Mus musculus: one gene and its partners. The protein of the gene in region 4 purifies or fractionates together with the protein of the main gene of each other region. This does not show direct contact. Links are inferred from orthologs where the notes say so. Each region holds a gene or a part of one and is shown on either strand. Other genes may lie near its edges. The genes, in order: Cul7, Cad, Spryd3, Lgals3bp, Tubgcp6, Hsp90ab1 and Tubgcp3.

Evidence for each region.
Region 1: the proteins of Lgals3bp (region 4) and Cul7 purify together in Homo sapiens (affinity purification with mass spectrometry; 3 studies listed by BioGRID and IntAct, with this or other methods). This does not show direct contact. The link is inferred for Mus musculus from reciprocal best matches to the Homo sapiens genes LGALS3BP and CUL7.
Region 2: the proteins of Lgals3bp (region 4) and Cad purify together in Homo sapiens (co-immunoprecipitation; 3 studies listed by BioGRID and IntAct, with this or other methods). This does not show direct contact. The link is inferred for Mus musculus from reciprocal best matches to the Homo sapiens genes LGALS3BP and CAD.
Region 3: the proteins of Lgals3bp (region 4) and Spryd3 purify together in Homo sapiens (co-immunoprecipitation; 3 studies listed by BioGRID and IntAct, counting the BioPlex papers as one, with this or other methods). This does not show direct contact. The link is inferred for Mus musculus from reciprocal best matches to the Homo sapiens genes LGALS3BP and SPRYD3.
Region 5: the proteins of Lgals3bp (region 4) and Tubgcp6 purify together in Homo sapiens (co-immunoprecipitation; 4 studies listed by BioGRID and IntAct, counting the BioPlex papers as one, with this or other methods). This does not show direct contact. The link is inferred for Mus musculus from reciprocal best matches to the Homo sapiens genes LGALS3BP and TUBGCP6.
Region 6: the proteins of Lgals3bp (region 4) and Hsp90ab1 purify together in Homo sapiens (affinity purification with mass spectrometry; 3 studies listed by BioGRID and IntAct, with this or other methods). This does not show direct contact. The link is inferred for Mus musculus from reciprocal best matches to the Homo sapiens genes LGALS3BP and HSP90AB1.
Region 7: the proteins of Lgals3bp (region 4) and Tubgcp3 purify together in Homo sapiens (affinity purification with mass spectrometry; 4 studies listed by BioGRID and IntAct, counting the BioPlex papers as one, with this or other methods). This does not show direct contact. The link is inferred for Mus musculus from reciprocal best matches to the Homo sapiens genes LGALS3BP and TUBGCP3.

What each region holds. Positions count from the first base shown.
Region 1 is NC_000083.6:46,662,601-46,664,864, reverse strand, and holds the end of Cul7 (cullin-7), read right to left. Parts: intron 1,808-2,264; coding exon 1,662-1,807; intron 1,544-1,661; coding exon 1,417-1,543; intron 1,328-1,416; coding exon 1,122-1,327; intron 898-1,121; coding exon 574-897; 3' UTR 501-573; downstream 1-500. UniProt on the Homo sapiens protein: Core component of the 3M and Cul7-RING(FBXW8) complexes, which mediate the ubiquitination and subsequent proteasomal degradation of target proteins. Core component of the 3M complex, a complex required to regulate microtubule dynamics and genome integrity.
Region 2 is NC_000071.6:31,061,280-31,064,779, reverse strand, and holds part of Cad (CAD protein), read right to left. Parts: coding exon 3,430-3,500; intron 3,324-3,429; coding exon 3,102-3,323; intron 3,003-3,101; coding exon 2,814-3,002; intron 2,580-2,813; coding exon 2,455-2,579; intron 2,319-2,454; coding exon 2,188-2,318; intron 1-2,187. UniProt on the Homo sapiens protein: Multifunctional protein that encodes the first 3 enzymatic activities of the de novo pyrimidine pathway: carbamoylphosphate synthetase (CPSase; EC 6.3.5.5), aspartate transcarbamylase (ATCase; EC 2.1.3.2) and dihydroorotase (DHOase; EC 3.5.2.3).
Region 3 is NC_000081.6:102,133,416-102,137,413, forward strand, and holds the start of Spryd3 (SPRY domain-containing protein 3), read right to left. Parts: upstream 2,801-3,998; 5' UTR 2,744-2,800; coding exon 2,721-2,743; intron 148-2,720; coding exon 1-147.
Region 4 is NC_000077.6:118,399,160-118,403,414, reverse strand, and holds the start of Lgals3bp (galectin-3-binding protein precursor), read left to right. Parts: upstream 1-1,455; 5' UTR 1,456-1,629; intron 1,630-3,613; 5' UTR 3,614-3,635; coding exon 3,636-3,687; intron 3,688-4,255.
Region 5 is NC_000081.6:89,120,351-89,124,466, forward strand, and holds the start of Tubgcp6 (gamma-tubulin complex component 6), read right to left. Parts: upstream 2,801-4,116; 5' UTR 2,468-2,800; coding exon 1,727-2,467; intron 324-1,726; coding exon 160-323; intron 1-159. Other genes in the region: polyamine deacetylase HDAC10, read right to left, coding at 3,116-3,129, 3,215-3,374, 3,469-3,651, 3,825-3,906. UniProt on the Homo sapiens protein: Component of the gamma-tubulin ring complex (gTuRC) which mediates microtubule nucleation.
Region 6 is NC_000083.6:45,570,462-45,574,754, forward strand, and holds the start of Hsp90ab1 (heat shock protein HSP 90-beta), read right to left. Parts: upstream 2,801-4,293; 5' UTR 2,706-2,800; intron 1,451-2,705; coding exon 1,304-1,450; intron 1,159-1,303; coding exon 952-1,158; intron 717-951; coding exon 557-716; intron 339-556; coding exon 205-338; intron 106-204; coding exon 1-105. UniProt on the Homo sapiens protein: Molecular chaperone that promotes the maturation, structural maintenance and proper regulation of specific target proteins involved for instance in cell cycle control and signal transduction. Undergoes a functional cycle linked to its ATPase activity.
Region 7 is NC_000074.6:12,669,301-12,673,512, forward strand, and holds the start of Tubgcp3 (gamma-tubulin complex component 3), read right to left. Parts: upstream 2,801-4,212; 5' UTR 2,731-2,800; coding exon 2,655-2,730; intron 1-2,654. UniProt on the Homo sapiens protein: Component of the gamma-tubulin ring complex (gTuRC) which mediates microtubule nucleation.

The DNA of each region.
Region 1 (2,264 bases), on a different chromosome or scaffold from region 4:
CACACTCCCTTCTAGGATGTTCACCAACCAGGTCCTACGCCATCAGCAGAAGGTGGTCGCGCTTTGGGAGCTTGCAGAGGTCTCTTCCCCTGGTCACCTTTTACTCAGGGTAGGCCCCAGTGAGGGCAGCTTGCACTGGGAGTGGTGGCTAAAACAGACACAGACCGACTGGTCACTTCTTAGTCACTTCTCTCCAGCTACAAATGAGGGCAAAGAGGCCGTGTTTGATAACCTGCCCAAACTGCGAAGAAGGTGGCCAAGTGGACTTGTGTGTGCAGCCTGCACGGTCAGAGTCCTAGCCACAGCCTCCAAGGAGGGACCCAGATCCAGGCTTAGCTGTTGACACACCTGACATTTCCTTTGCTCTCTAATCCACCTTCCCAGACCTTGACAAGCCTCCTGATGGGTCAGGAAGCTGCTTCCATGCCAGAGGCCCCCTTCCCCATCAACTGGAGTCCCCACGCCCCATTCACCGATCTCTAGCAGTCCCATACAGGTCATAGCTTCAAATTCCAGCATTTTATTTTCTGTAGAAAGCCCCAGCCTCACCTACCCCCAACCCCATATCCAGGGCTACCGGAAAGTGGAGAAGGTGTGGTTATCAGTGCAGGAGGCGTAAGGCACACCCCGGGATCGAATCTGCAGGGTGTGGAAGGTGAGGGGTGGATTGGGGCCTGCCGAGCCAGGGTTCAGGGACTCCATGTGGGGCTCCATCACAGTTACAGGAACTGCATAGTACAGCACCTGCGGCCGGTCGTCATGGCGTCTCAGCGTGCCCTTGACCAGGAGGTGCAGGATGCAGGAGAGGACATCAGAGCTCCTGCAGGTTGCTCCCCTGCCGAGGCTGCTGACCAGACCCCTAGCAGGACACGGGCCTTTCTCCCACGCTTCTAGCACCTGATAGCAGGATCAGAAGGAAAGGACAGGTCAAAACCACAGTCCTTACCACTGTCTTCTGTGTTAGTCACACATTCTGGGACATGTGTCACACACTGAGAGGCTGCACCATGAGTTAGACACTTCAAATACGAGCCCACCATCACTTGTGGGCATCTCTCCCATGGCCATGCCTACCATTACCTCTGGGCATCTCCCCCATGGCCATGCCCACCACTGCCTACCAGATAGACGAGCCGGTCAACATGCAAGCCTTCATCCCCGTGAGCCTTGAGGATTCGGACAACAAGGCAATTCAGAAGATTCCTTCTCTTCTCCATGTTCCGGCCCTCTTCGGCCTCAGCTTGTAGGTATGTCTGAGGTGGGATCAGCCACACGTTGCCCCTCCTCGGCCTGGGTTCCTCACTGTCATCTCGAATCTTGAGCACCCCTGTAAGGAACATTGGTCACTTGCCTGGGGAGGGCCCGGGGAAGCCGATTCCTGACTCAGAGCAGTCTGCCTTGGCCCTGAGTGCATACCTCCTGGTACGTTCTTCTGCTCCTGCAGGTCCAAGGGACCTCTTGATGAGGTGAGAGGCCCGATGGCCCTGTGAAGCACATCTGGAGGGAGCTCCGAGATAGCCTGCAGGCTCTCGACAGACACCTCCTTAGAAGAGATACAAAGAGTTTAGATCCTCGGGGGGGGGGGGGGGTGAGCTGGGGAGGATGGAGGCAAGAGAACAGAAGTGAATAGGCAGGGCAAGCAGAGGGACAGGACAGGCCACCTTTTGGTTGTTGAGATGCAGCAGCAGCCACATCTGTACTGTGGACACATGCAGAATCTGACCCCCGAACTGCACTTCTGCCCGGCCCTGCCAGGTCCACTGCAGCCGCCTCTGTGGCTCTTTCTCTAAGCTGGAGCGGCTCTGACCTGGAGAAATGCCAGGTGAGAGAAGGGGGGAGGGTAAGGGGGGAGGGCATGCTCTGTTGGTCAAGCTTTGCCTTGCTGGTCTCCGCAGTGTAGAGACCCAGGCAGGACTTCTGGGCACGATGGCTTCTGATCTCAGCTTCCCTAAAAAGCCTTGGCTAACAAGGAGTCAGTCTGTGCCAAGCAGGCTGCAGCCATGCCCTCTGAATTATGCACAGACAGAATTGAGCCAGGAAGGTTTGCCCTCCTGCTTGTCTGGTGACTCCTGGGGGGAGGGGGGGTGGTGCTCTGCTCTTCACCTGCTCTTGTTGCCCAGGCTAGAATCTGATGCCCAGTGAATACTTTGGGAACTAAATGTGACCAATCAGGAAGGAATCTCACACCCACTCTTTCTATTTTCTGAGAGGGTCTCTTTATGTAGCTCTGGCTGATTTACAGTTCACTATGCAGACCAGGCTAG
Region 2 (3,500 bases), on a different chromosome or scaffold from region 4:
TGTAGCCTGTTCTAGATACAAAGTGTAAAGTGTAACCAACTTCCTACTAAGTGGGAACATCATTTTAGATGAGTTCTGCGAATCACAGTATCTTGCTTGAGGCCGAGTGTGGTGGCTCATACTTGTAATCTCAGTATTTATGAGGTAGAGGCAGGAGGATCACTATTAGCTGAAGGCCAGACTATTCTAAACATAGCAAGTTCCAGGCTAGCTATGGCTATATAGTGACAGCTTGTCTGGGGGGTGGGGGTGGGGGGGCGGTCAAGAGCCTGAAGCAGGAAGACTGTAAGACTTTGGGGACAGTGTATGCAGTGTATGGCTACTTAGTGCACGCCAGGCCAACCTCATCTATAAAATGAATAGCTGGCAACACAGCTAGAGCCTGTCTCAAAAAGACAAGATCAAAATACACAAAGAAAATTATAAAAGTTAGCAGGGAGAAGATGGCATTTCGAGAAGTCTGGGAGGAGCGAGAGACATTTCAAAGTCTCAGCTGGGAACCAACCAATCTTTCACTATCCTGTTTCCAATCCACTTCCTTTAGCCACAACTTAATTATGGCTCCGCTCCCATGTTTATTATCATTTTCATATAACAGAAACTCATCTCCAGAAGGAACATCTTGGCAGTCTTGGAGGACTTCTACAAATTCTGAAACAATATCTAAGCTCAGACTTACTTGTTTAAAAGCCACTTGTGTTCTAAATGGTGACATGCTTATCCAAATTGGCTGGGAGCACCCGTGCCTGCTTCTCTCAGACAAAGCAACTACAGAGACACTGCAGAGCACATCAGCTGGATTCCAGCTTGCTTCACCGCTCACCACCACGCAATATTCTAAACAGGCTGGCGGGTTTTTTGGTTCTGTTTTTGAGACAGTGTCTTGTGGTTATTGTCTAGGCTACCATAGACTTTATTCCATAGCCCAGACTGGCTTTGAATTCACACTCTTGTCTGCTGAAACTCTTTGTTAGGTAACAGTTGCTATCTTGCTCTGATCTTAACTCTGTGTTAAATGCAAATTCCATTGTAGATACTAGAAGTTGTTGCCAGAGGAGGAGACAGGCGGAGAATGGCTAGCTAGCACCATGCTGACTTCTGGTCACTGAAAGGAACTTGCCCGGTGACCAGAGTTCAGTTCCTAGAACTCACTTAAAGGTAGAAAGAACTGAAAATGTGTCCCGACTCCCACATCTGCACTGTGGTATGCACACTCCACCCTCACATATACTTTGCACACAAAGAGCAATAAATTTTAAGAATTAGGGATTTATAGGGCCAGGCAGTGGCGGTGCACGCCTTTAATTCCAGCAATTGAGGGGCAGAGGCAGGCGGGATTTCTGAGTTCAAGGTTTGAGGTCAGCCTGGTCTACAAGGTGAGTTCCAAGACAGCCAGGGCTACACAGAGAAACTCTGTCTCAAAACAAAACAAAACCAAAACAAATAAAAAACAAAAAAATAAAGGATTTATAGGAAAGCATCAGTAACCCTTTCCCTAGAAATATTTAAACAGTGAATAAAATGTCACTGGAGTTTATCAACCTAACAATGCCGCTGGAAGTGAGATGCCACGTCATGAGGATAAAGTGTCTCGAGGAAGATGAAAGACATAGTGAATGATGGGTTTACAACCAGCAAGATCTGGCTTTTGCTTTGACCCCTTACTACTCCGTGAGCCAGGTCACTTTCCTCCTGAGCCCCCCTCCCCCCATTTACCTGTTTGTTAAATAAGAGAGATCAAATAATCTGATCCCAGGGACTATATTCCAACACCCGCTTCCAGATGACTCTTGTCCCCTGCTCCTAGTGAGGATAACTAACTTGAAATGTACCCATTATCTCTGAGAAAGCTCTATGCGCTCTCTCTCTCTCTCTCTCTCTCTCTCTCTCTCACACACACACACACACACACAGACACACACACACTTATCTGCTTTCCAAGACAGTGTTTCTCTATGTAGCCCTGGCCACCCTGGAACTGGCTCTACAAACCAGGCTACTCTCAGATTGACAGATCCACCTGCCTCTGCCTTCTGAGTGCTGGAATTCTAGGCACGGGCTGGCATGGACCACCATGTCCAACTAATGATCTGTATTAAAGGACTGCAGCATTAGGGAAGCTGAGGACCACTGCTCTCCTGGTTCTAGCAGGACCCATGGGAGTTGGAACGGGTGTAGAAAGCTCACCAACACTCTTCATGCAACTCCCAATCTTCGTACTGACACGTAGGAACTTGCTGAGGTCCCAGCGAGGAATCTTTACCACGCAGTAGTCCAGGCTGGGCTCAAAGGCTGCTGTTCCTCCCGTAACAGAGTTTCTGAGCATGAACGAGTTGGGTGCCAAAAAGACAGAAGAATATATAGGGTGAGCTTGCAGTCCCTCTCATAGGTCCAGTCTTATGAATAATTTCAACTTTCCCCTCACCTTAACATCAGGATTCCCCCAAGTTATACCTGAGCTCTGGCAGGGGAATGCCCAATGCTAGCTTGGCTGCCACATAGGCTAGTGGATAGCCTGTGGCCTTACTGGCCAGGGCAGAGCTTCGGGAGAGCCTGGCATTCACTTCAATGATGTAATACTGCAAATGGGAGAACACAGAGAATAAGTCACTGACACCTGGCCTAGAAAAGGGCTCAAAAGGGGGAGGAGAAATGATTGGGCCTCTACCAGGGATGGAGAGAGGAAAGGGCCTCCCCAAGCTCCAACCCAAACCACGACAATCCTGGCTTCACTCTAGGGTGAGCAGGGCCAAGAAACCTCTTAACCTTGAGGCCCACAGACCAAGGTATGAAGGCCTCAGTATGAGACTCACCTGCTCAGACTCGGGGTTCAAAGCATACTGTACATTGCACTCCCCGACAATGCCCAGGTGCTGAGTGACCTTGATAGCTGTCCGTCGCAGAAGCTGGTACTCTCTGTCATTCAGTGTCTGGCTCGGAGCCACCACTATGGATTCACCAGTATGAATGCCCAGTGGGTCTAAGTTCTCCATGTTGCATACCTACAAGTGGGGTCACAGAGGTCACCAATAAAGGGGGTCAAAAGGCCCAGGAGGCTACATCCCCAGGCCCTGCTATATCTGAAGTGTTTCGGCACTCACCGTTACGCAGTTGCCATAGGCGTCTCTCACCACCTCATATTCAATCTCCTTCCAGCCCTTCAGAGACTTGTCTATCAGCACCTGACTGGTATGGGCAAAAGCTGGAGCCACAAGAGCTGAGAGTTCCTCTTTGGTGGAAGCAAAGCCAGAACCGAGACCACCCAGGGCAAAGGCTGCTCGCACCAGCACAGGGTAGCCTAGTCGCTCGGCAGCTGCCTGAGCCTGCAGTGAGTGGGAGACATGAACCAACAAGTCATTTCTGGACCCAAAAGAAATAAGATTCAGAGGAAATGACATCATTCCACTTCTACCCAAACACCTAACAAACCTGTTCAAGAGAATTTGCCGCTTCACTGGGGGCGACATGCTCTCCGATCTCAGCCATCCTGGCAGCGAAGG
Region 3 (3,998 bases), on a different chromosome or scaffold from region 4:
CTCAAAGTGTCACCATCTACAAGGATATGCTTGAACCTCTCCTGATATCGGAAGGCCCGGACCTCTCGGATCTCCCGAATCCTCCTTCGCCAGTTCAGAAACCGGTAGTGCAAGTTGAGGTCATCCATCTTGTTCATGAGAACAAACCTGTGACAAGACAGATGGCTGAGAAGGAAGCAGGGCTCAGAGCAGAGGACCCCAGCCTGCTCAACCCTGAATGTACAAAGTGCACCAGACTTGACGCCGGATGTCCAAATACATCAAGAGCTCCAGCCTCAGCCACTCAGGCAATACGTATTTATTGGGATTTTTTTTTTTTTTTTTTTTTTTTGGGTTTTTTCGAGACAGGGTTTCTCTCTATAGCCCTGGCTGGCCTGGAACTCACTTTGTAGACCAGGCTGGCCTCGAACTCAGAAATTTGCCTGCCTCTGCCTCCCAAGTGCTGGGATTAAAGGCCTGCGCCACCACCGCTCGACCTTTATTAGGATTTTTATTGTTTATCGTGTGCTCTGTTATCAGAGTTAGGAACAAAGTTATGAGCAAGGTAGAGGAATCTGGATGCTTGTTCTCACAGAGTTTCCACTCAAGTGGGCATAGGGGAGCATGGCAGATAATAAATACAAATGGTCATATTTTTTAAAAAATTTTTTGTCTTATTTATTTATTATATGTAAGTACATTGTCACTCTTCCATTACGGATGGTTGTGAGGCACCATGTTGTTGCTGGGATTTGAACTCAGGACCTCTGGAAGAGCAGTCAGTGCTCTTAACCACTGAGCCATTTCTCCAGCCCACAAATGGTCATTTTAACCAGTGGAAGAAAAAAAAAAAAAAAAAACCCACAGAGATGTAACAAAATAGCGGACAGGGACAGACTCTGAGGTACTGCCTGAAAAACTGAAAGAGAGGCAGGCAGTGTAACAGTGTAACAAAAACCATTCCATACAGAAGAAACAGTTGCTCAGGCCCATGGTTAGAAAAAAGGTGTCATGGCAGAGAAAAACAGCCCACCAGAGCCATTGTATGTAGGGAAAGTGAATGACAATAAGGTAAGGGGGGAGAGGAGGTGTTGGAGAGATGGCTCAGCAGTTAAGAGCACAGACAGAGGTCCTGAGTTCAAATCCCAGCAACCACATGGTGGCTCACATCCATCTGTAATGAGATCTGATGCCCTCTTCTGGTGTGTCTGAAGACAGCTACAGTGTACTTACAAAAAATAAATAAATCTTAAAAAAAAATAAGAAGCCAGGCGGTGGTGGGTGGTGGCGCAGGTCTTTAATCCCAGCATTCAGGAGGCAGAGGCAGGCGGATTTCTGAGTTCAAGGCCAGCCTGGTTACAAAGTGAGTTCCAGGACAGCCAAGGCTATACAGAGAAACCCTGTCTCCAAAAACAAAAACAAAACAACAACAACAAAAAAAAAACCAGAGTAGAATAAGGTGGCAAGATATGGAAGCACAGGCCTTTAATGCCAACACTCCAGAGGTAGTGGCAGGTGGTTATCTATGACTAAGAGGCAGCCAGCCTGGTCTCAAAGCAAATTTCAGAAGACAGCAAGGTTTAGACAGAGAAACCCTGTCTAAAAAAACAAAAAGAACAGGGTAAAGCAAGAGTCTATCCACAGTCAGGACTTTTAAATTTTATTTCAAGGGTAATGAAAAACTTCTAGGGAATTGTAAACAAGAAACGGTATGAATTTTTTGTTTGTTTGTTTTTCTGAGACAGGGTTTCTCTGTGTACCTCTGGCTGTCCTGCAACTTACTAGCCTTGAACTCTGGCCTGCCTCTGCCTCCTGGGTGCTAGGATTAAAGTGTGTACCCCCACCCTGCCTGAAGCCCATGCTGTTCAATTCACTGAGCCTTCTCTTCTGCCAGAACCCCAGCCCTTTTTAGTCCGCAGAGGTAAACGGATTTCTGAATTCTTCAACAGCCTGCTCTACATAGTGTGTGCCAGGGTAGACAGGGCTACACAGTGAGGCCCTGTCTCAAACAAAAGAAAAAACAACTTAGCAGATCTTAACTCCAAGTTGTAACAGAATTCAGAGGGCCGCAGCCCCTAAAGCAGCAGCAGTACCGGAGAAAAACATGGGACTCTCTCGGTATTTAGACAACCAGCAAGGCCAGTAAATGAATGAATGAATAAAATCTTCCAGAGATCCAAAAGCGGGAAAACCATGAAGAAATATTTTCTTCCTGCCTCCCAAACACCTGGCACTGTGCCCTACACACAGTAGGTGCTTAGCAATCCTGGGCTAAGCTGAGTTCGATCCCAATGTGCACATTGGGGCTCTTCTGCAGGAGCTACAGACCAGCACATGCCCCACAAGAGCAGACACCTGCGGCGCAGCACTGGGATCCCCCAGGGCCCTGGGCCAGGACTCGAACCCAGGTAGATGCCGGAGCCCCAGATCTGAAGGCATCGGATCTTCGAGAACCTGACAGCCTCAGCACCAAGCAGCTGCCGCCGCACTGGGTCCGGGCACGGCCTCAGGACCGCGGGGTCTCTCAGGTGACACCCGGGACCACCCGGCCTTAACCTGTCAATGAGGCTACGCCCCGTCGTCACAGGCCCTGGCTGCAATGGGGAGGGTGCGCGGCGAGAGGAACGCCCGTGACCGGAGCCCCTGGCCCCGCCCTGAGGCCGCAGCCGTCGCCCAGGACCCCCGCCTCGAGATCTGCAGAGACCGAGGCCTCCGGGACCCCGCCCCCGATCCCCGCCTACCGGGGCCGCCGCGTCCTCCTCATCCATAGGCCTCTCAGCTCCGCGTTGTAGCTCTTCGGCCGCCGCCACCACACACATCCGGGTCCCCGCCCTTCCTCTGCTCCGTCAGGCCCGCCCCCACCGCTAAATCTGACCAATCCGCAGCGCTTCTTGAAGATGGGCGCCCTCAGCAGCCAATCGCAGGGCACAGGCGGTGCGGAGCGCGGCCCGGTGAGCTGGGTACCTAACACTCGGCGGCGTCTGAGGAACCCTGGTGTCGGGAGGGTGGGGGAGGCGACGTGGCTGCCCGGACGCCACCTCGGACGCCTGGAGCTCAGGGAGGCGGTCAAGGGGCGGCTCCCTTGGGGCGGAGTAGGTCCCTGTGCCCGTGCGCGAGCTTCGTGTTCCCAGAGCCAGAAGTGATGCTAAAAACCTCTCTGGAATGTCCTTTTGAGCCACTTAACGGCATGGGGGGGGGGATTTTTTTTTAATGTTATCTCCTATTTTACGCGTGAGAAGCCAGAGGCTGATCTCCACAGCGGCAGCACTCGGCTGGCACCACATGCTTTCTTCTCTCCGGAGCACCCCTTTGCACCACGTTCGTTCATTCCAGGACAGGCGTTCCAGAACAGGAGAGAACATATGCAAAAGGCACAGTGGGATGAAACCCGGGTGCTCTTTGGGCTTGGGCTTGGTAGGAAAAGTTAGCTCGGGTCAGAATGTACCGGAAAGGATACTAATCTTTATCATGCACCTCCTATAAAGGGTATGATTGTCCTTGGAAGGAATTGGGATTCTTGGACGACTTCAACGTTTTGCTCTTAAGACTGAATATTCTTTCCAGAAAGACTCATCCTGTGTCAGAAACATAAACGAACATATTTGTGTCTTTCCACATCTAAATTTATTGAGTATCAAATACATCAGCAAGCGATGTCAGCTTCATTGGCGGCAATTTGCCAATTAGACCTGATTTACATTGATAATGGGCCCTTACCAAACACATGAACTTTTACTTTAATATTAATTACTAACTCTTGGGTCACAGATTACATATCCTGTGTGTACTTATGTAGGTTAACAACATGGCTAGAAAAGGGTTAAAGAAGCCACAGCATAATTCAAGAGTTCAGAGGCCTTACTAGAGACAAGAGCTGATAGAGTGCAAAGTCACTGCAGCCAGAGAACAAACCTAGCTGGGGAGCTGCTGAAGGTTCCAGCCTGGGATGCAGCCATAGCTGCAGGTCACAGGGCTGAACACCTTCAGAGGCAAAATGTGAGACTGGGTATGGATGAATA
Region 4 (4,255 bases):
AGTGTTCAAGAGGACAGTTGGGTGTCTTGAGGTAGGAAACCTTACAGTGCTGGTGCCAGGGGAGCTGCAGGGAGCTGCTGGGAATTAGGCCACTGTCTAAACATCATAAGTCTGGGGAAATTTGCCTTTGTAATTTTAGTGTATCTTACATGTTTGGAACTTTTGTCTGCATGCATGTATGTGTACCACGTGTGTGCCTGGTGACCATGGAAATCAGGAGAGGGCATTATATCCTTTAGAAATGGCATTATGGGTGACTGTGAACAGCCATGTGGGTGTTTCAAATGGAACCTGGGTCCTTTGCAAGAGCAGCACGTGTTCATAACTACTGAGCCATCTCCCTAGGCCTCTTTGAATTATATATATATATTTTTACATTTATTTACTGTGTGTGTCTACATGCATGTACATACATGCCACGGTACACTTGTGTAGATCAAGACAGCGTACAGGAGTCAGTTTTCTCTTACAGTGAGTCCCAGGGGTCAAATTCATAGCATCAGGATTGGTTACTGCAAGTCCCTTTACCCGCTGAAGCAGTTTTGGTGGTGGTAGTTTTGTTGTTGTTGTTGTTGTTTTAGGATTTTGTTTCGGTTTTGTTTCTGTTTTTGTTTTTTTCCTTTGAGGCAGGCTTTCTCTGTGTAGCCCTGACTAACCTAGGACTCACTATGTAAACCAGACTAGTTTCTAACTCACAAAGATCCACCTGCCTCTGCCTTCCAGCTAAAGGTGTGTTCCACCATGCCCAATTAGCCCTACTTTAAAAAAAAAGGTATTGTAGAAACCTTTTAAGATTTAATTTTTAAAATTATATGTGTGCATGCATGAGCACACTTGGGTGTGGGTGCCTACAGAGTCTGAGCCCCTGAAGCCAGTTACAGGCTATTCTGAGCCAACCAACATGGGTGCTGGGAGTTGAACTCAGGCCTCCCATAAGAGCAGGTGGTGCTCTTAACCACCAAGCCACTCTAGCCCCCAGCCCTGCTTTCTGCTTTTAGCCTTTATATCGCTATTCTTGTCTCTCAGGACCACTCTGTGGCCCACATACCTTCGCTCTGCGCATGGTAGGTTTGTGCATAAGCTAAGGGCAGCCAGCATTCCCAGGTCCAGGAAAGGATAGTCCAGCCCACATCCACATTCACAGACACGGTCTGACCCGAGCTGCTGCTCCTAGGCCCTCTTTCTGTATCTTTCCACTCTCCTTCGCCAGGATGCCTGCCTGGCCAGCCTGGAGATGTATTTGCTCCAACCATCCCCCAAGCTGCCCCACAGGGTGCCTGCCTGGCTAGCCTGGACTTATATTTGTTTCATCAGCTCAGTATATCAGCTCAGCACAGGGCGCTTGGGTGCCTGCCCTCTGCCCCACAGAGCAGCAAGCAGAAGGCTATTAGCCTTGCTGACAGCCAACCCCAGAAGCAGCCTCTGTCATGTGTTTTCTGAAAATCGAAACTAGGTGAGGTTTACAAAGCATTTCCTGGGACGAGGCTGAGGAAAGCCACATGGTGGAGCTTTTCTCTGCTGAACAGTCTACAGAAGGCTTCCAGTTGCAGCCAGGAAGGAGGCTCCAGGACTGCCTTCAGCCACTGCCTCGCTGCCTGAGGGACAGTTGAGTCCCTCTCTTGCTCCCAGGTGAGTCTCCACTCTACACAGCATGATTTCTGGCAGGCCAGAGCACAGGAGCCAATACAGTTGGGCAGGATGTCCACTGAATGAACAGCTGAAGGGGTGAGTGGGTTAGAGTTTATCCCCGGCCCCCTCCTGGGTCTGTAGATTCTCTCCCAGGACTAAACCTACCTACTCAGTGGTACTGAATGAGCCAGCATAGGCAGGCTTGTCCCATCTTCCCACACAAAGGAGTAGGGCAGAAACAGCCTCTGTCATCCAGTGGACAGCAACATCCACATACACTGCAATGTTCCCAAGGCCTAGAGCGCCTGACCCAGCATGGACAAACCTACGACCACAGTTTATAGTAAATGCAGGGAGTGGGCACCCAGTGCAGTTTGCCTGGGACTCAGGTTTCCCAGAGCCCAGGCCTTCTTGGGATAAAACTGGGGTAATGCCTTGCCACACGGATGTGGGACTCTCTGGCTCCCTCCACCTCCACCAGGGTCCTTGTGGTAGAAGGAGGCCACCCCTGGGCAGACCCTAACCTGTGCTCACTGGCTGTGTCATCTGGAGTCAGTTGGCTCTCTAGCTTCGGCTCTCATTAGGGATGTGGGAACTTTGTGAGTTGTATATTGTTCTGGGTCTGTGCTTGACTAGATGCAGAAGTCTGGTGGGAACCAGTTGGGGGGTGGGGGTGGGGTGCACAGAACTAAGGGCCAAGTCCCACCCATCAGTGTGTTATAGGACTCAACGGTCAGAGCTTATGCCCAGAAAGCTCCCCTGATAGCCAGACTCAGCCACCCATCCTCCATGGTCCAATTAAAAACATAACAGTGAAAAGCCGAAAAAGGAGATTTATTTAATGTGGCCACACTAAGAGGAATCCAGTGGCCTCCCCCATTAATGGCCCAGAGTCTATTAGGGGATATTAACATGAGGTTTACATAGAGGTATACATAGCTAACTGGCTTGCCTGGGCTGTAAATCCCAGAGTGAGCTGTTATTTCCTGGAGACAGGCTTCCTCTCTGGCTATCACCAGGCAACAGCCTTCTCCTTTCAGCGTGAGACTCCCGGGGAGTTCCAGTTCTGCTGTTGCTTCCGCAGTCGGATAGCCAAAGCCTATCCTAGGATCTCTTCACCCCTGCCAAGATGGCTACAAGTGCCCTGGCCCCCTGAGGGCTTGCTCGTGCTGCTCTGGTGCAGAATGTCTGGGGTGGGGGTTGGTCGGTGGGAGAGGGCTGGGGAGGGGCCAATCCTGGTGCTTCTACTGGACCTGAAATATCTCTACTGCTTGTCTCTGGGCCCCTGGTCGGAGTAACAATTTGTGGCTTCCAGTTCCTGCCCAGGAGACAGAGCTCTGTAGCACCATCCACTACCAGTCCCAAGCTGCCTGCTGGGCCTAGAACGAGTCCAGAGTCCATTGAGGCTGCTGCATTTTGTTCTGTGGGTTGCCCCGCTCCTTGCAGGGCCTGAGGGACAATGCCTGGGTGGGGCACATCCTACATACAGGCAAGAGTCTAAGTATTGAGTCCTGTGTGTCAGCACCGTGGTGGTTGACCCTGACCCACATCCCCAGGTCACATCATGAAGTCCCAGACCCTTCTACACTGCCTCTGTCACTTCCCCTTGAGAGTTCCAACCTCATCTACAATGTCCTCACAGACTGGCAAATCTTGTCCCCTGCACACCCCAAAGGCAGCTAGCTACTACTTACAGATAAGGCCAGCTAAAGATAAAGAGCTCTTGTTTGCTTCCTGGGTTCTCGTTGCCAGGAGCCCTCAAGCCACTTGCCTCATCTGGGGACTCTTGCTGACCTGAAGGTTGTCCTGCAGAGCATGTGAGAGAGGCCTGCATGAGAGCCATCACATAGCCATCTGGGCCTTACACAAGAGTACCACCCACAACACCATCCCATCCTCTACAAATAGGACAGGGAGCCATGGAACTGCCAGTCTCCTTTGGAGAGCTGTTGCCAGTCTAACTTTGTTGTTCTTTCTGCTGCAGGGTTGGGCTTCTAGGCCAGGCAATGGCTCTCCTGTGGCTCCTCTCTGTGTTCTTGCTGGTTCCAGGGACTCAAGGTGAGTCCTGCCCCACGAAAGGTCCCAAACGCCTTGTTCTGTGGGTTGTCCCCCTCTGCCTTGCAGAAAAGCTGCATGGCAACCTGCAAGGAGCCATGTCTCAGGATTCTCTCCCATGTGGCTCCTCTGTCATTCTAAATGGTGGTGGCGTATGGCCCCTGGTGCTCCCCCGCACCCAAGTGAAATGCAGGTATTGAAGAAGAGGCCAAGAAATTTTTTCTCATCTCATCAGTGGGCCAAGGAGGGAGAGCACAGCCCGTGCTGTCCTGGAGTGTGTGTGGGGGGGTGTCTCAGGGCACAGGTTAGGGTGGCAGAGAGTCCCTGGGGGGGGGGGGCAGTTCACACACTGCACTGTGGGTCTGAGAGCCTTGTCCATCCTGGACCGTCAGCTGAGTATCCCTCTCTAGTATGGGTGACCCCAATTCAAGCGCCCAGCTGGCCCTGTGAGCATGGGCAGAGACGGGAGTTCCAGAGAAAGGAGAGCAGGACTGTCCTGGCTGCCTGTGCCACAGTGCAGACTGTCTCCAGTCCAGGATTGTCCGCTTTAGGCAACCACTGTAGGGGTGAG
Region 5 (4,116 bases), on a different chromosome or scaffold from region 4:
CCTCACGGAAGTCAGACAAGATCGTACACTAGCTTACCTGAAACAGCAGCCTCTCACTCTCAACACTGATATTCCTACAAACTGCCTGCAGTTTCCAAGTAAGCTGTTGATATGGGGCAAAGGCACAGTGCATTTAAAGGCAAAGAAAAGGTCACATACCATCCAATACGCTCCCAGCACCTCCGCTTGCTGGCTTCGTATGTGAGCACAGCTTCCCACAGGTCCAAATCGGGGGTCATGCTTGGTTCAGACTGGGAGTCGGGAGTTAAATTGGAAGCTGACTGGAAACCTTCATCTTCCCACTGATCCACAATCTGTGGGACCTGGAGACCACCGGAAAAAGTAATTCACTATCCACCTCTCCCTGTATGCATTTATTAAGTGTGATGATAGAACACTTAAACTGTATCCACATCCATTTATTCCCTAGAGGGACAGACCTAGCAAAGCAGTCTACTTTTCCTCAGTGTACTCCACAATGCACCCCTCCACAATACATGATGACATAGAGAGTTAAAATAATCCGCTATTAATTTCTAGGCAGGTGTGGTGTGTGCCTGACATCCCAGCACTGAGATTGAAGTAGAATTGAGTCTGGAACCAGACTGGGCTGCACAGAGTGATCTACTGCAAAACACAAGGTGTTAATTTTTTACCTCACATACAGCATGGCCTCAATTTAGGGAAAACAGCATAAGAAGTCGTACAGGAAGCCCAGCACCCTGGAACTGAGGCAGGAAGATATCCATGTGTTTGAGGCCAGCATGAGCTACACTGAAACCCTGTCCTTATGAAGCCTGACCCCTCAGCACTCAGGAGAAAAAGAAAATTATACTAAACCTAGAGAAAGTTATGTACGCCAAGATTTTGCTGTACCATCATTTAAATTTGGAAATAAATATTCCCTTTAAAAATAATAATAGTAATAATAACTGAGGGCCAAACATGATACTTTAATCCCAGCACTCAGGAAGCAGAGACTGGAAGATCTCTGTGAGTTCAAGGCCAACCTGATCTACAAAGCAAGTCCAGGACAGCCAGAGAAACTGTCTCGAGAAATCAAAAATAAAAATAAAAAATAAAAACAAAACTGAGAAGTAATAGTTTGTCCTCTTAACAAAATTTACAAGTAATAAAATACAAGAGAAAATGATAATTTATTCAATGACGTGGAGGTGGGTTGGGGAAACCCATGTTACAGGTGAGGGGGTATACAAAGCATGCACACCAGGTATCTTTGAAATGATGTGGCTTCTACAACTTAAGGGCAGACTTTCTTTTGGATGGGGGGTGTTGTTTGTTTTGTTTTGCTTTTTGAGACATGGTTTCTCTGTGTAGCCCTGGCTGTCCTGGAACTCACTCTGTAGATCAGGCTGACTTCGAACTCAGAAATCCGCCTGCCTCTGCCTCCCAAGTGCTGGGATTAAAGGTGTGTACCACCACTGCCTCTCTTCATTTTAATTAATCTGATTTCTGAACTAACAGCACTAGAGAAGTGACTTAACAAGAAGCTCTTGAGGAACAGGATGGGAAAGGTGCACGTTGTGTTTTGCTTACTGGTGAGCAGCTAGGACATTCCTGTGCAAAAGGATGCCAGCAAATCCTCCCCAACACCTCTACATCATGACTGTCTGCTCACCTGAGGCTTGGACAGAAGCTTGCCAACAGTACCAGGTAAAAGAATTTTCCAAACCTCTAGGGTTACTGAAAGGGAAAGAAATACTACCTTGATGGCTAGTCCAGAGAAGTCCGCGCTGTCTGGCACAGGTGGTAGGTCCAGTCGCACATCCATGTCATAGGTGCGGCTATGCACAAGTGCACCAAAGAGGGAGACCCTGGTGTCTCTCTCAAACCTGTCACCACAAGAGTCACCAATTGAGAAGAGCCCAACGGTGGGCAGGCCAGTGCCTGGGGCAGCCTCCATCACCTGAAGCGCTTCCTGGACCGTGTGATGACACAAATTCTCCTCCCCAGAGATAAATGACCGAACGTCCATTTCAAACACACTCAAGTCATAGCAATCGTAGCCGCTGTAGGGTATGTTTCGGCCTGCATGCTTGTTGTTAAAGAAGTAATCCCGTTTTCTACGCAGCACTTGAGGGGGGCCACTTCCTGCCAGCTGAACTAAGAGGTCCAACACTGATGCTACCTCCACAAAAGGACAGTCAGGGGCTGCTTCAAGTTTCTCCACGAGCTCCTCCAAACGGTCAGCCTCTGGCCCCAAGCCCCCCACCCTCAAATCGAAGGACAGCATGAGGACCTTGTTTTTCACGGGGAGCTTCGACGAGTCGGGCTGCCGTTGATGGGTGTCCTCTTGAAAAAGATTTGCGAAAAGGGCATTGTAGGCCACCCTCTTAAGGCTCCGCTTCGCCCTCTTCCTGTTCACACTGCGCTGGCCGGGGCGAGCTTGGGCAGCAGGTAAGAGAGCCTCGCAGAGGTCATCGAACAGCTGGGTGATGCTGGCCATAGTCACTCTCTTTTCAGCCCAGGACCCTCCTGACTGGTAAACTTTGCACCTAGGAGTCACTTCATGCTCTCAAAGGCCAAAGCTCACCGTAGGTGAGCCAGGCTCAAAAAGCGGACCGCCCGTGGCTCCACACCCGGCAACCCGGCATCCGCGTCTCAGGTTTCGCACTGCAAGAGGCCACACGCCGCGACCCTAACAGCCCTCAGCCTCCACCTGGCGCTCGTCCTCGGCTCTCCCGGACCATGACAAGTTTACCGACCGAATGCGTACGCCCCATGACCAGCCTGCAAGCCCGGGACGCCCGAACTGGGACTCCCGCCGCTCTGGCGTCACACCCACGCGACGGCAGACAACACCAGGAGACGCACGGGAAATACGTCATCAGGCCCGCCCTAAGTGGGCGAGGCCTCAGCCTCAGCTTTCAGAGCTAGAACCTAGCATCTTGGATAATTTGATGGGAGTGAACTCAGTAACGGAGACAGAGATGTGTTGTGTTTGGCCGATGTTTATTGTTCTGGAGGTAGAGGACGCCTGGGCCGCAGACGGGACGTAGGTCTCGGGCCATGGTTCGCTGGGGCCCGAGTGTGCTATTTTTCACGTGTGAATCGCCCACCTTGACCGATTTCAAGCGACTGGCAATCACTGTTATTATGGTGGAGGAGCTGGAAAAGCAAAGTTGACTCGTTGGTGAAGCTGGCTCCACGTAGTTCTAACGTAGGGCGTCGCCTTTGCCCCTGTGTGCCTCACCAGCCACCTGCAGCAATTTCCAGCGAGCCTCCAGCCGAGCTTTTAGAAACATCAGAGCCTGGATCTCCTCTGGAGTGGCCTTCGAGAAAGGACCCAGACTGGGAGGTGTTTCTCCATGCAATGCCTGCGCCAGGCTCCTTGCAAGCAGGCGTATGGATTCCTGGCTCGGAGAGAGTGGGGTTTGGGCGCCGCAATGAGACAGTTGTTTCTGCCCACCTTCCACCCATATAACGTAGCCACCCTACCCAGTTTACCTCTTCCACTACAGCTAGAATTCGGCCCCCTACTGGGCTCCGAAGCATTGCAGCCAAGAGAGCAGCTTGAGCGTTCTGCAGGCCATGGGCAGGCCCCAGTGCCATCAACACCATATCAGGCTGGAAACCATAGGCCAAGGGCAGTACCAGACCCAGAATGAGGCTCAGAAACCCTCCAGTTGTCTGTAGGGACAATAGCAGAGCCTCAGACTCTCATCTAAAGGGCACTGCTAGTGGCTCCTGTCGCCCACCCCACCCCCAATCTCAGGGACCCTGGGTTGTGAACAGGAACCCCCAGAGAGACCGGCGGGGGGGGGGGGGCGGAGAAGCTCTCCAACCCCAACACAGCCACTCACCTGTGGCAGTGGAGTGGAGAAGTGGAACATGGACTGGATGGCTGCATCCTTGCCCCGGATGTTGAGCCACAGAATTCTCCTTCTCAAGAGAAAGCACCAGGGCCATAGACACATAATGCAGGAGACCCTGCTCACCCTTCCCAGGGCTTATCAATAAAAGACAGAGGAGAGCTTGGGGCCAGGGGGGTGGGGGCGTAAGTGACTGTCAACCTGGTATGGCACTGTGTTCTGGGGCATCCACTCTCAAACTGCACCTATGGGAAGCAGTGTTCTCACCCAACGGTGACCCTGG
Region 6 (4,293 bases), on a different chromosome or scaffold from region 4:
TTCAATCTTAGGCTTCTCCTCATCCTCCTTATCTTCCTCCTCTTTCTCACCTTTCTCTTCCTCTGCCTCATCATCACTGATCTCCTTCTCCCGTTCCTTCTCCAACTAAATCACCAATGACACATGTAATTAATTGTGGAGAATGTAGCACCAGCAAGGCCCAGTGCCATTAGCCTGCTCCAACACTGCCAAGCCCATACTCACATAGAGGGTGATGGGATAGCCTATGAACTGCGAATGTTTCTTCACCACTTCCTTGACCCTCCTCTCCTCCAAGTACTCTGTCTGGTCTTCTTTGAGGTGAAGGATCACTTTGGTACCCCGGCCAATGGGCTCACCTACAGAGAACAAATCAAGACATGAAAAACTGAAACTAAAATACAAGAACGAACTACGCTTTTTTCGTTCCTGGTTTCTCAAGCAAGCTAAGATTCCTGTGTAGCCCCTTTGCTTGCCTTAAGAACTCACCCAAGTGCTGGCACTCACCACCCCTTAAAATGTACTTTTATAGAATACAACGTCTAAGGTTTCCCCACAATGTAGCCTGCTGCCTCACCATGGTCTGCCCGGACGGTGAAGGAGCCACCCGCAGACGACTCCCAGGCATACTGCTCATCATCATTGTGCTTCGTGATCACAACCACTTTCTCTGCAACTAGATAGGCCGAGTAGAATCCGACACCAAACTGCCCGATCATGGAGATGTCTGCACCAGCCTGCAAAGGGTTTGAAGTAAAGAGGATCAGCAACATGGTTCTTGGCCAAGTATAACCATCTGCTGCGCAAGGTAACAATCAGTTCAATGTCCAGAGATCTAGGGGTCAAAGCTGTCCTGACCAACCACTTGTACTTTTTTTCTAATAAGTGTCCTAATATGTAATACCCTAGACAGACAAATTTTAACTTAAGCAGTAACAAATTAGAGGACGGTGTGGATGAAAGGCCACACACCTGGAGAGCCTCCATGAACGCCTTCGTGCCAGACTTAGCAATGGTTCCCAGGTTATTAATGAGGTCAGCCTTGGTCATGCCAATGCCTGTGTCCACCAAAGTCAGCGTGCGCTCCTGAGGGTTGGGGATGATGTCAATTTTCAGCTCTTTCCCACTGTCCAACTTAGAAGGGTCCGTCAGGCTCTCATATCGAATCTTGTCCAGGGCCTGTAGTAAACGCAAAAAGCCAGATTATTTTATTTTTCCAAACAGTCCCTCCCCCTTCAACATCAACTGAACTGTTCTTCTCAATCACTCCCACACACACACACACTTCCGTGAAGCCTTAGAAATTCAACAACAGAATACTCACATCTGAAGCATTAGAGATCAACTCGCGGAGGAAAATCTCCTTGTTTGAATAGAAAGTGTTGATGATGAGGGACATGAGCTGGGCAATTTCTGCCTGAAAGGCAAAGGTCTCCACCTCCTCCTCTCCATGGTGCACTTCCTCAGGCATCTAAGAATGAAAGAATTACTACTAAGGACCATTATAGACACACATTTTAATATCCAGCTCAAACTTCTTTAGTCTGGGAAAGTATCCAACCCAAAGAGACAAGAGCAGCCATTTTCTTTAAAAAAGGACATTTAAGCTACAATGGCCAAGACAAAAATGACAGAAAAAAACCTAAAAGATGGGTTTTCCAGAACAGATGCCCAAAAGTCAAACTCTTGAACATTGGCATGTTCAGTGCATAGCTCACTGACTCTGAACAGAACACCTGGCAATATGGTAAAAATCCAGACTAAGTTAACAATACATAAAAAAGAACCTCAAGCAACCCCTGGTACTCACACCCCTTAACTACAATCTCCTCATTGGGGTGAGGAACAACTTTAACAGAAAAAGCAGTCTTTTTTAATTTTTATTTTATTCCACCCAGCAGGGCAAGAGAACCTTGAAGCTGTAGTCTGGGAGGCGCTCACGGGGCAATTAAATCAGGACAAAGAAATCAAGAGCTCCACCGTGACCACTCACTGTGCAGACTTGCATAGGCCGGAACCCAAGTAAAATGGTGGCCCAGCCGTCCAACGACCCTCGTCACTGCCGGACATGCGTCGGCAGGAGCCACACGGGGAGGGGGCGCCATTGAAACCCTCCCACCGCCCCAGCATCCGGGCACTGGGGCGGGGCGCCCAGGCTTCCAGAACAATCTGAGCTCCGGGGAGGGGAGGAGAAAGGGAGGGACCTAGGAATCTTCTCGTGCCTGCTCTGTCTCTCCTCCCCCGCCCTCCACTGGGAGGGCAGAAAGATCTGGAAAGGGAAAGCGCGGTGGGTTCCGGCGTCCCTGCTGTGCACCCCTCCCCAAAATCAAGCACGTTGGTACCGGCGGCGTCCGGGGGAGGCAGCCAGGCCAACCTCCCCAGGCCTTGCTGAGTCACGCAGAGCAGCCCGCCACCGCGCGGACCCTGCAGCCGCGCCCGGAAGTGGAGGGCAAACATGGCAGCGTCCCGGGTCGGCGACTACCACGTGCGGCCGCCCACCACCTGGCCGGGCCGCACCCCCACCCCACGCTCCGGGGAATCCACCCGCCCCGGGGAGCCTCGCGTGCAAGCCCGCCGGGGTACAGCCCGAACCTCTAACCTCTAGACACGTTATCTCCACAGGCTGCCCCGCCGGGGAAGGAGGCTTTGGGACAGATGAGATGGAGGCTGGGACCCCGGGAAGAAGCCCCCGGAGAGCCGCCGGGGACGAGAGACCCCGGCCTTACCTTGACGGGAAAGCCGAGTAGTAGTACAGAGCAGGGTGGTGGGCCCGGACCAAGTCCGACTCGCACGGCAAGCCTAGGCTGCGCGGGGGTGACTCAAGAGAGCTCCCGAACGCCCCCGACCGCCCTATATAAGGCGAAGCACAGCCCGGGCCCCGCCCTTGGATCCCTCCGCCTTAAAGGAGTGGCTGCGGGCCACGCACCTGCCGCCGCCCGCCCACCTTGACGTCATGGTAGCAGATCGTGGAGGGGGCGGGGAGGAGCGGGACCCCGGGCCTGGTTCCTGAGTCAAGGCCAATTCAATATCGTTTTGCACATCCCCCATTTCTGCAGGAGTAGGACATGTCCCCCCTCAAGATGAGCAGGGAGCATGCATATGCAATTAGGGATGTATCTGCGGGCGAATACCCTACGGACTGCCTCAGAAAACTCAAGGTAGGCGCTTCCACCCCCCCACCCCCCAAGAGTCCAGAACTCAGGGGACTGAAAGAGAATGGAGGTGGCCAACTCGGCTGCCATTTCCAGACCCGATCTTACTAGAATGTTCCCTACAAATCGCACATCAAGAGAAAAGGATGATAAATTCCTTGTCCAACTTTAAGGAGGCCCCCGATTCCCCCATCCCCACCCTCCCGGGTACAGCACAGCTTCAGGCTGGGAGCCGCTTTCCCCGAGGGGAGGGGCACGGGCCTGGGCTGGTAGGGACTCTTTGGCGGCCTGCGGCGGAAGGATCAGCAGCGGTGGTGCTGCGATTTCTTCCAGCAGTTTCTAGGCCTGTCTCGGCGGTCTCCACCCCTCCCCCCTAGGCTCCACCTCCCCTGCTGCGGCGGGGGCAGTGTCTTCGTCGCCGCTTGGCTGGGTGGCTTTTTTTTTTTTTTTTTTTCCCCTACCTTGATCTTACCCTGGGAAGAAATTTTCCCCAAGTCTGCCTACCGTGGGCCAGGGTTGAACGACCCTCCACGCGTGGCCCTAAGAGGCCCACATAACAGTGGGGGAGTGGAGCGCAGAGGGAGGGATAGCTGACCTGGATCGGTCACAGGGCACGGGGGCTGTGGGGGTGAGTGACTGCGGACACCTTCTAGTGAACAGAGAACCGAGCTAGCAGCTTGCGCTACTGGGTAGAACACTCCCCACCCCTCAGCCTCCCCGGTCTCCCACGTACACAGCGCGCGGGTACGTGCGCCCTCCCTATGTGAGCACAAGCTGTTTCTCAAGCTGGTTTCGCTTCTCTAGCCTCTTCCCTACTGCATGCAGCTCTTTGGACCTAGAGAGGAGCAGGTCCCAGTCTTTTCAGAGAAGCTGGAGTTCTAGGCATCCGCATGAAGGTGCTGGTCACAGGTTGGCCCAGTTCCAGGAGCCAGAAAACCAAGTTGTGCCAGTGCCTCTGTTCTAAAGGTGGCCTGCCATGTCCTTCAGCTGGCAATCTAGCCTTGCCTTTTTCCAAGGCTGCATCTGGAAGCTTGTTGGACTGATGAGCCCTCCAGTAGAGGATGGGCACTCAGTGCTCTGCTATCTTAGCTCATGCTGGCTTGTGTCCCCACACCACCGCCCACACCTTTGTTCCCGGTGCTTGCCTGCAGTCTGTCTAATG
Region 7 (4,212 bases), on a different chromosome or scaffold from region 4:
GCCCTGGGTACTAAGCAACACCTGAAGGAGCCTAAAAAGCATGGAGCTTGGTCAATACTGTGAACTGAACTTCCCAAGAAAGCCATGCCCATGTTAGAGATTCTTCCAGACTGACTGACTATTAGAAGGCCTGTGATTATAGACAGCTGGACAGAATGTTGCAGGTCTCGAGCTAATAAGTTGTCTTGGCCACCTATCCTAAGCCCTCTTAAAGGCCCCATTCACTGCCTGCCTCTGTGTGTTGGCATGTAGAGAACCCAGCCTCCACCAACCCTAACATGAGACTGTCATCAAATAGTACCTGAGACCAGTAACAGAGATTCCCATTTTGCTTTAACCCACGTACCTGATGTTCATGCCAATGTATTTGAAAAGTACCTTGACTTATGACTTTATGCCATTCTGTTACTAAGCTTCATATAACTGTTAATCACGTTGAAACAAGGCATTAGGGGTAACCTGAAACTGTGTTACTAGACCATAGTCACTTATGCTTAGTTCCAAAATAAATCACCTCTTAACTTCCTTTGAGGCAACAACTGTGTTTCTGCATCAACAATATCAATGTATTATTACGGACTGTGACACTGCACCTCAGTAAGCCAGACACTAAGACCAGAAGAGATGGTGTTGGGCAAAAGAGAACCATGTGTGTACAATTTTCTTGTAAATCTAAACCATTCTGAACTTTAGGTGCTTTTAAAATATGTACTGACACCAGGCCCTCTCCTACACAAACCCTGGTTCTTACTGGTCCGGAACAACAGCCCATGCTATCAACACTCTTAAAGGTTCCACTTCAACACTTTCAGTCTACAAGACAAGAATAAGACAAGTATAGTTAAGGGAAGATGGTTCCTTTGGTAGGCTCAAAAATAGTCTCAACTTGTACCATTTAACAAAAAACTAACTCATATCACACATAACAATAGAACAGAACCTCTCTAGGGCAAAAAGATGAAAGAAATTTTATGACTTTGGATTTGATAACAGTTCTTCACATGACAGCCAAATCATGATAATGTTAAGTGTTTTTTGTTTTGTTTTGTTTTGTTTTGTTTCCTCTTTCTTCCAGGGGAGCATTTGGGGAGTAAGGCAGCACTGCTTTCAGGAATCCATCCTTGCCTTCCACCTTGTGGAGAAAGCAGATAAAGAACACTGTACCCAGATAAATAAAGAACACTCAAAGTTATAAGGGTAAGCAACCCAGCAAGAACATATGTTACAAAGAAAACAAAATAAAATACAACCTTAGGAAGAGATCTGAATGGCCAAACAAGAAGTCATGCTCAACAGAATCAGGAAAAAGAGATGACAACAATTAGCTATGGCTACACACCTGTCAGAGCACAACAAAATATCAACAAAGTGTGTGAGGGCAGAGAACCCAGCTGACTCTGCATCCCTCAACTCCATCCACAGAGAAGACAGCATCATCTTTAATGAGCTTTACCCTGGATCTCTCTGAAAGTCCAGCGATTCACAAGACATAATCACAAATGGGGGTGGGAAAATGGGAGGATACAGGATTCTGCTTTAAAGTAGCATTTCAATCACCTGAAGGCTGTGAAACTTCTATCAAAAGGGATCTTAATGTAAAATTCAAATTTAGAAGTTCATAATGAATAACTTCAAAATCTAGCTATAACTACGAGGTTCTTTCTGGAAGGTAAAAATTTTGGACCCAATGCAATAAAAGAAAAATGATGGTATGGCGTGTTAAGCCTTAGTTATCTAATTTTGCCTATGACTGGATCACTCCCTTCAGAAAAGTAAACTATCCTCTGCACTCACACTCTCCCCAGATACTGGAACTCTAAGCTCCTCCTATCCGCCTTCTCCCTAGCCCTTTATCACCCACAAACACTGTGTATTCACCAACGTGCTAGTCACATTCCCTCCATTAGACAGGAGCATCTCTCATGGCATAATAGGGTCGAGGAAGCCTCAAAGATTTCTTACATGAACAAACTGCACAGTGAAACACTACAAGGAATAAAGCAAGAAGGGAGTTAAGTCAACGGTTTAGTAGTGACACAGTAATTCATCCTCTACGCTGACAAGTTGTTACATAGGTTGTTACAAATTATGAAAGATCAAAAGGCTCTCTCAGTTTTTAAAACTCGGTTCTTGTTTAAAGTCTTCCCTTGAAAACCTGCGCGATTTGTCTCAACATTCTAAGGCAACCCAGTCATGTCAATTACTAAAACCTTCCCTCAAGACGCGTCCCCACTCATCTCCAAAATGAGCTTCATGAAACCAGATCCTTGACATTTTCCCCACCCCCAACTACGGCGGCGACAGTACGGGTAAAGTGGGCAGGACTGCCTTGGGGGTCTGGCTTCTTAGAAGCATTATTCGCTAGCTGAACCGTCCAGGAATAAGCGAGCATCATCTAACCAGGACTCATCATCACCAGAGGCAAAGGTGACAGCAGAGTGAGAAGCACGCAGAAGCAGAGCTGCAGGCTGCCGTGCTGTCTGGACGAACCCAAAAACAAACTCGGCCGCTACAGCAGCTCCGGCCTGGGCCCCCAGGGCAGGGACAGTCCGCGAGCCGCACCCCTTTCCTTCCCGGGGGCCGGGGAGAACAGCACCCGGCCGGCGGGGGTCATGGCGCTCAGTCTCCACAGCCCTGAACCCCGGGACGCGTACCTTCGCTCCGGCCCAGGATCCGGCAGCACAGGTTCTGCAGCAGAACGTTGGGCGACTTCTGATCCGGAGTCGCCATTACCGCGCCCGGACTGCGCACTGCAGCCTCCCCGCGCCCCAGGATCCCGCGCCCTAACTACGGCGCCGCCATATTCGCGGAAGCGGCAAAAGCGCGCGCCTCCCATAATGCACCGCTTCCCGCGCGAGACGCGCGTGCGCTCTCCCGGCTTCTGCACTTGGCAGCTTCTCCGCGCTGGAAAAGTCGTTGCTGGGCGACGCTCGCAGCAACGCGTTCCTAGGATGCCCGTACGCGTCCGCAGCTTGCGGTCTGGGCGCTGCTTGTGAACAGCACTGGATGCGGAGTCCGAGTGCGCTTGAGCCACACAGGGACAGGGGCGCCGGACTACTACGCAGGGCTCTCGTAAGTGAGTTCTCAGAGGTCTGGAACCTCTGCCCCTTGACGTCACCAGGAGGTAGTCCTGGAAACGGGGATACTGAGATGGAGAGGCTTGAGCGCTGCCGCAAAGGAAAAATCAGACGCAGACACGAGAAATTCTGTGCTGTCTGGGACGCAGGAGGAGGAGAGTCCTCGTCACTGGGAGCCCAGCTCCGCCGCTCCTGCCCGGATGCTCGGTGGTCCGCAGAAAGCTCCCTTCTTAGTCGCTGACTCAGGACTATGATAGCAGTGGCACTCAGAGGTGGCTTAATGGAGAGCATACCTTTATTCGTCTTTTGCTCGCAGATCTCTTAGCCACCCTTCCCTGCCCGCTCTGTGATGTACAGAATGCGGACACACTCACTCCCTGTACAAATGGTACCTGCTGGAGCTCAGCCAGTTGAAGCCAACGATAGAAACTGCAAGAGGAGACTCTCGGCTTCAGCCTGGAATTTGACTACGACTCTAACAAGCCGAGACTCTCAACACTCAGCTCTCAGCCCATTCTTAGCTCCAGCCTATTTTGTACCACCCACACAGATGATGCTCCATCAGAAGGTCTAGAATAAGGCCATAGTGAATAACTATCAGTCATTCCTGGTGTTTCTTCCACCCCGGGGCCAGTAGCTAACCTTCAGGTGATCCACTTTTCTGTTTCCATCATCCATGTAGTCAGAGCTCAGTCCTCAGTCCCTGTAGCCTCTGTTTTGTTGAGTGGTCCTAGCACTGCCCTTTGGTAATAGGAGTGATCCCAGCAAGAAGTCTTAAGGTGGCTTTCTGGACTGAGCACTCACACATTTAATTGCAGATGTATTGACAGTTATTTGAGGGTGGCCAATGAGCCAGGAAAAGCCAGAGCGGTTTGCTTTTCTGTGTGGCTACTTGAAGTGAAATGTCAGCAGATAGATGAAAACACTTAGAAAGTAGCTGCTCCAGCACAGTCTTGACAACAGGAGCTGATGTCACCAAGTCAGGTGACTCGAGTTCCCCAGAACCCACAGAGCAGGAGAAAAGCAACTACCTCAGTTGGTCCACTCACCTCCACCATACAAAATGAAGTCAGTCAAGTTAGGACATTGTAAATCAACTAAGCCAGTGACCAAAAAATGCTAAAAAAAAAAAAAA